Linked DNA regions of Canis lupus familiaris. The protein of the gene in region 1 binds, or shares a complex with, the protein of each later gene. Links are inferred from orthologs where the notes say so. Each region holds a gene or a part of one and is shown in the gene's direction. Other genes may lie near its edges.

Region 1 (3,654 bases):
CCATAGATCTCAGAGTTATCTCTGTACAAATAGTTAAAGTTATATTTTATTCAAAAGAGATGACGGGATTTTCCCATGTTCTTTGATTCAAGAAGTATTTTTTGGATTCCTGCTGCGTGTTAGGTACTGTTTAGGCCCAGGGGATGAAGCAAGTGGCCCGCAGCAGAGCGTGTTCCTACCCTGCGGACTCAACCTTTGTGACTGGACCATTGGGACAGACTGAGAAACATTAGCTATGAGCTTGTCTCTGAAACGGCAGAAATGAAGAGATTATTTTCTTCATGTAGGGAGGTGATGTTTGATAAATTAGCCAGCCTTTCTCGGGGTAGGAAACACAATCTGATTTTTGTGTACTGCTCAGGATTTCTTGTCTACCTGATAACTTTAAGGTTCTGAAAAAAAAAAAAAAAAAAGAATTGAACTCACCCATTCAGGCCTTTCCATAAAGGTATCCAAATGATTTGTGGGGGAAAAGAATTAGTAAAAGTAAAAAAGATATTTAGTCATTTCAGTAGGTTTTTCAAATTCTAATGGATTTATTTGGGAAACAGCTCTTGATTTTATTACTCCAGTTATTTAGCATCAATTTCTTTTGTGCATTAAGACAGATCTTGCATTTATAAAACTTTTGTCTCCTCGCTGTGACTAATTGTAAGAACTAGCTTGAAGAGAAGTAATTGTGACTATAAAAATATCAAATTTCAGATTTACTATTATGGAGAGTTGTTTAAGGCTAATAATTACAAACACTAATCTCTAGTGCTATCCTTATGTGTGTGTGCAGGTGCCGTCTATCCTCTGCATCATAAATTCCCATTAAAAAGTGATTTTATATATATTTTTCAGGTCAGCTCATTTCAGATCAAGTGGCAGAAATCGTATCTAAATATGACCCCAAAGTTTACAGCATCAAGTATAATAACCAGTTAGCAACTCGGACGGCTCAAGCTATTTTTGATGACAGTTATTTGGGTGAGTTAAACCAAAATATGGATTCATTTTATGGAGTTGCAGTGTTATTTGTCCTGTATTTGTGTATGCTACTTTGAGCAGGAAAATAATTTATGTTGAAAGAGATTAAAAAGAATTTTTTTTTTAATCTAAAGAATAGGCACATAATTTCAGGTTATTATTGGGTACATAGGTTACATTTCAGTGGTTGAAATTTAAGAGTGGTTATTTATACAATGATTAATAATAACTTTTTAAACTAATTTTTAAGTCTTTAATTTTTTTTTTTTTGAAAGTGTATGAGAAAGGTGGGGCGGGTTGAGGCGGAGGGCGGGAGCGACACACATTTTGCGTGTCGTGTGTATCATGTGCTGTACTCTTACAATGCAGCAAGCTGGAGGAAAGAAAATATCAAGAAACCATCAAGAACATGCATTTACAGTGCGATACTGTATTTATTGAAAAAAAAACCTGCCTGTGCAGTTCGAGCCCCTGTTCAAGAGTCTGTTCTACTTGAAAGTACGCTCGAGGGAAGCCTGCTCGGCAGGTGCGCGCCAGGGGACTGACTGTGCCCTGATGGCGGTTCCCGTTTTGTTCCTTTAGGTTATTCCGTGGCTGTCGGAGATTTTAACGGCGATGGCGTAGATGGTATGATGCGTGTAAACTGTATTTAATCCTTCTTCTTCTTCTTTTTTTTCCAAGAGTTTTTCCTTTTTTTTAGAGACAGAGCGAGAGGTAGCCTCAGGGGGCCCCCGCCGGGAGGAGAGGGAGGAGCAGGGCTGGGGGGGGGGACCTTGCTGCCGGCCCCGGGGTGGCGAGCTGGGCCCTGGCAGCCGCTTGGCCGGAGCCCCCGGCACCCCCCTGTGTGATCGTCCTGAAAAGATAGAGCCTAAGGGTTTGAGACAGGCGACACTGCGAAGCCCGAGCAGGTACGGGGTCTGGGCCGGCGGCGTGGAGCGTGGCGGGGACGGGCCGAGGGGTCGGTGCCGCCCGGGCTGGGGCCCCGCGTCTTCCCGTGCGCCCCCCTCCAGCCCATGACGTTTTAGTTTTTCTTCAGTTTCTTCTTCTTGCTCTGGTGGAGCGGGTCCTGTCGGAGGGCTCGTAGGCACCGCCTGTGACTTCTGGGCCCTCGCCCTGCGATTCTCTCCGTCCTCTGCCCGCTCCCCCCCCCCCCCGCCCCCCGCCCACCGAGCTCAGTCTAGGAACCAGACACTCCCCTGATCTTGACCCCATTCCTGTGTCCCTGCCGCCTCCGCCCCATCTCACTCTGTATTATTTTTCATCACTGTAGATACAACTTAGTTTTGTTCTGGGGTCACTTTATCCTGACCCTTCTCTTTTTAATAAGATGACAAAAGCCTAAGGGCGCACGTGCATTTATCTGAAGGTTCTCAAGAATCTTTCTCTATTTTGTGGACATTTGATATTTGTGGTTAAAAAAAAAAAAATGTTCTGGCCCTTTATTGTGGAGTACCATTTTCAAAGATTTTTTTTTTTTTTACCTTCTTTTTCTGCTGAAATAACAAAACAGGACCTAACGCTCCTCCTGTAAATCCATTTCTTCTTGCAGTTCTCAATACTTGGTCTTGAAAATGAGTCATTATGGGGATCCCTGGGTGGCTCAGCGGTTTAGCACCTGCCTTTGGCCCAGGGCGCGATCCTGGAGACCCGGGATTGAGTCCCACGTCGGGCTCCTGGCATGGAGCCTGCTTCTCCCTCTGCCTGTGTCTCTGCCTCCCTCTCTCTCTCTCTCTCTCTATGTCTATCATAAATAAATAATAAAATAAGTCTTAAAAAAAAAATGAGTCATTATGTTTTTCCTTTCAGACTTTGTTTCAGGTGTCCCGAGAGCGGCGAGGACTTTGGGAATGGTAGGAAAATTAAAAGGAATCTTTAAAAAAAAAAAAAAAAATTCTGGGTTATCTTCTGTTTTACGACCGTATTTCATATGCTTTTGTCTTTCCTCCACAGGTTTATATTTATGATGGGAAAAACATGTCGTCCTTGCACAACTTCACCGGTGACCAGGTACGCTCTTAGACTGCTTTGTTCGTTTGGTATTGTAGCATCTGCATTCCTAACGTCGTAGACTTACGGATGATCTAATGGTTTGCGTTGACTGTGAGATGGATATATTGGTTTGATAGTCACTGTGGTGAATGTAAAGCAGGCTTCAGAGGGTTCACCTCCGGCCAAAGTCCTCTGTGTAAGGAAGGGCTTCTGTAATTGCACGTTTTTCACGCTCATTTTTCGCTGCACGTGGCTCATTTTTTAAGGAAATACAGAAATTGCAGACACACACGCCATACACGCCAAAGCACAGAAACTTCCTCTTTCTTTGCTGATGACACTGAACTCCCCGTAAAGGCGTCCTCCGTGCCTTGTAGTCCTACCGGATGCAAAACGGAGCGTGGCGCCGATGCCTACAATACGGGTGTCGTGAGCGCACTTCGCCCGAGGACGTGAGAGAAAGCGTTCTTCAGGTGGGAGGTAGTGCTCTCAGGTACCAGACGTTCTCTGCAGGTGCAGGCGTTTCATGGCCTTTCCTACTCTTTGCATCAGAGAATTTAGGGACGACAAAGGGGAAGTTTGGCGGCCCGGGAAAAAGAAGCGTCTCGCGGTTTGCGGGCCGGGGACTCGAGCCCACGTCCTGCTCCGGAGACGCCGTGCATGGCTTTGCAGGAGGATCGGCAGGCTCGCGGC
Region 2 (3,654 bases), on another chromosome or scaffold:
ACCATCTTCTTTGTTGAGGCCAGTGAGACTAGGAATTTGCTTGCAAGGTTAAGAGAAGCTAGTGTGTGCTGAGGCCCCCTATACGGCTAACATTTGGTTGGACCTCCCTGAATATCTTTGTCCTCTAAGGACTGTGCCTTTACAGATTCCCTTGGCTAAGATAACCAACCAATTTTATAACAACCTGCACAATACACTAAATATCTGGTAAATTTTGCAATAACTCCATGAAATCACATAGCCATTAATCTTTAGACAGAGCTACCATAAACTGTAATGATCACCAAGATGAAAACACCATGTGACCAGTGCCTAAGGTCTTTAGCCTTATACCCAAGTCAACAGTTAAAAAAACGACCATCCAATTTGTAAAAAATTAAAAAAAAAAAAAAAAAAGCAGCAGCTGATCCACATATTAAGCCACATGAGCCATGCTCCCTAATTATGCTCCATTTCTATTTCTTATTGATCTGGCCCTGTCTAGATTCTGACTTTCTCCTGAATTGAACTTCTCCACCCAAATTGCAAGACACTTCCACAGGGACAGGTCTTTTTACCAGACACTGGAAAAGCAGAGCTGAATATATGCTCTTTGGAGGCAGCCCAGCTCATAAAGGAAAGGAGTGAGAGAGTGGACTAAGTGGCCTTTACATCTCCCAAACTCTTGGGCCAAAAAACTGAGTGTTACAGTAAAAGGTTTTCCAGCACATACAGGCAAATTAGGAATGAGTAATTTATCCCATAATTATTATTACGTACAGAAAAACCTTATTTTGAATATATTCTATAACTGATTTTAAAAACATCTGATTTGTAAAATAATTTAAAAGACAATGTCGCTGCTTTTGAATACATTAAGACTGAAAATATCTTAAAGTATCTTCTGGTAGGGAATCCCTGGGTGGCGCAGCGGTTTAGTGCCTGCCTTTGGCCCAGGGCACGATCCTGGAGACCCAGGATCGAATCCCACGTCGGGCTCCCGGTGCATGGAGCCTGCTTCTCCCTCTGCCTATGTCCCTGCCTCTCTCTCTCTCTCTCTCTCTCTCTGTGTGTGTGTGTGTGACTATCATAAATAAATAAATAAATAAATAATAAATAAAATATCTTCTGGTAAGTAGATCAGGCTATCAATTGTATATACAAATCGGTGTTCATTAAAAAAAATTGTTCTACACTAATTACTCTCCACTGACAAATAATGACTTGCAAAGCACTTACTTTATTGTTTAAAACAGTAAAGTTCACAAATTGTCCATATTTACATAGATGACTTTTTACTATATACTTACAGACTTTCAATTATGGAATGAGTAAGACATGAGAATAAAAACACAGTCTAAGGAATACAGACAATGATACTATAATAGCTATGTAACAAGACAGATGGTAATTATACTTGTGGTGAACACAGCATAATGTATAAACTTCATAAACCTCTAAGTTTTATATGTGAAACTAATGTAACATTGTGGGTCAACTATACTCAAATAAGATCAATCAATAGATAAAAATAATTTTATTTATTTATTTATTTTATTGATAAAAATAATTTTAAAAACTAAATACAGAACTACCAGCTCCACAGAGTGCCATATCCTTGGATACAGTGATATAGGTCCTTGTATCAAATGATAATAGACAGAAAACCAAATAAAACTGTCTTGTACACAGTTGTTGGGAAGCTCCCACATTTCCCACTCTTCACATCTAGTTCCTTTGCCTCTATGATCCCTCTTCAACATATGTTTATCAAGCACCTACTATGTGTTAGATAAATATTGTTCCCTACATTGCCCAGGTCTCTAGTGTGGCACTGCTCGGTACAGTTCTTTAGACGACTGTCTCATTCTTCTCATCCCATGACTACTGTTGGGAGGAATCTCATCATCTAATTCATAATGAGTTATTACTTAGTTTGGATAGTGTAACATACTACTCAGTACCAGAGTTTTCACATCTCATATGTAAATATGCCTTAACCTAAAAGGATGAATTTATACCCTCATCCAATAAGAGGTAACTTTCTTAAGATGCCTTTCTACTTTTCTTCAAACCAAAAGCCTCTTTCAAATCAATACAGCCACCTACTCTTGAGACAGAATGCTGCTTGCAGTATTGTGCTGTGCTTTCCTAGATACTAAAGGAAGTAAGTTCATATGGGGATAAATATATTCTCTACTACATTTATATTGAGCATAGAACTTTATGGTCCGTTTGTTACTATCACTATCTGCACCACGGAATTGTGAGAAATGCATTGTATAAGTTGGAAACTAATAAACTGATACAGATTTCAAATTGCTTTAAAATTATTCCAGGATATTCCTAACTTCATTCATTATGCACAAATTTGTGCTAGTTGTTATGTATATAAAGCATGACTGATTTATTGAGAGCTTATCCTGAGATGTTAAAAATGAATACTACATGATGTCTGTCTTTCTTTGAACCAGAAGCTGAAGCTAATTTTATGCTGAAAATTCATCCTCTGAAGAAATATCCTGTGGATCTTTATTACCTGGTTGATGTCTCAGCATCAATGCACAATAATATTGAAAAATTAAATTCCGTTGGAAATGATTTATCTAGAAAAATGGCATATTTTTCCCGTGACTTCCGTCTTGGATTTGGCTCCTATGTTGATAAAACAGTTTCACCATACATTAGCATCCACCCAGAAAGGATTCATAATCAATGCAGGTATCTGGTGGTTGGTGTGGACTTCATAAATGCCAAATTAATTTTTTCTTATAAAATCTCTCTGTTTTTATATAAAGGACTTACTAAATTTTATATTTTTGTTTTATTAAGTGAGAAATGAAAATATTTGGAGAGGAGGTATGTTCCTATCTGAAAATTTATGAGATTATGTGTAGCTTGGAGTTTCTATGTTTTTTCAAATATCACTCCGTTTCATCACAAAAAACTCACAAATAATATTAGTCATCTTGGATAAACCTCCAATATTCAGGCAAACAGGCATATAAATACGTGTTTGAGAATTCTGTATTTGTCTTCAAGCTCCAAATTTGTTAAATTAAGGTTTGTCAAATTTAAAGTACTTATATTGCCAGTATGACAACTATCTTTGTTGCTGCTATGTTTATAATTATGTTACCTAAGATGGGATTTCAAAGAAAGCTCAGCTAGGACATGGAGGGTAGTTGGAAAGATGAGAATTTGTCTGTTTTCTGGAAAGAGACGCTTTTCTTATCATTTTGAAAGTCTGATTCTAAATAGCATATGGCCCACCATGAAACAAGAACTGACCTTAAAAATACAAGTTTCTCAGACAATATCCTAATTAGCCTGTTGAGTTCTCAGAAATGTATTCAGTTCCTCTTTAATATAACATTTCATTTTAACATCTTCTTTTCTACTTCCATAAGTTGCCCCAATAACTTTATAGATAATCTACCAAAACAGCTCTGCTAACTGTCGGAATGAATACATCTCCTCATGGAGCCTCATGTTCCTTCTCCCTGAACATGCATGTGCCTGAGGAATGATTTTCACTTCTTGGGACATCACAGGATTCTCAAAGTAATTTTAATAAACTCTGATTTTTCATCAATAATTTCACACCAAGCAACACTTCAAAAATTAGCACAATGTTTTAAAATATCAAAGAATAGTATAATATTTTCACTAAAT

Evidence for each region. The genes of interacting proteins can lie anywhere in the genome.
Region 2: the proteins of ITGAV (region 1) and ITGB8 are in contact, whole or in part, in a cryo-EM structure (PDB 8TCF), measured with the Homo sapiens proteins. The link is inferred for Canis lupus familiaris from reciprocal best matches to the Homo sapiens genes ITGAV and ITGB8. Residues at the interface, in NP_002201.2 of Homo sapiens: Tyr48, Phe51, Trp123, Leu141, His143, Gln150, Glu151, Arg152, Pro154, Phe184, Gln186, Phe189, Pro204, Trp209, Asp249, Tyr251, Tyr254, Arg275, Arg278, Thr279, Gln301, Met302, Ala303, Tyr305, Phe308, Pro328, Leu329, Met331, Ser335, Asp336; in NP_002205.1 of Homo sapiens: Ser197, Pro198, Ile202, His203, Pro204, Arg206, Ile250, Asp251, Thr252, Pro253, Thr287, Ser288, His289, Leu290, Ala291, Leu292, Asp293, Lys295, Leu296, Gly298, Val300, Pro302, Glu321, Ser324, Leu325, Gly326, Gln327, Glu330, His349, Trp350.

What each region holds. Positions count from the first base shown.
Region 1 is NC_049257.1:29,233,252-29,236,905, forward strand, and holds part of ITGAV (integrin alpha-V), read left to right. Parts: intron 1-846; coding exon 847-972; intron 973-1,554; coding exon 1,555-1,599; intron 1,600-2,778; coding exon 2,779-2,822; intron 2,823-2,922; coding exon 2,923-2,979; intron 2,980-3,654.
Region 2 is NC_049235.1:34,460,667-34,464,320, forward strand, and holds part of ITGB8 (integrin beta-8), read left to right. Parts: intron 1-2,453; coding exon 2,454-2,700; intron 2,701-3,654. UniProt on the Homo sapiens protein: Integrin alpha-V:beta-8 (ITGAV:ITGB8) is a receptor for fibronectin. It recognizes the sequence R-G-D in its ligands.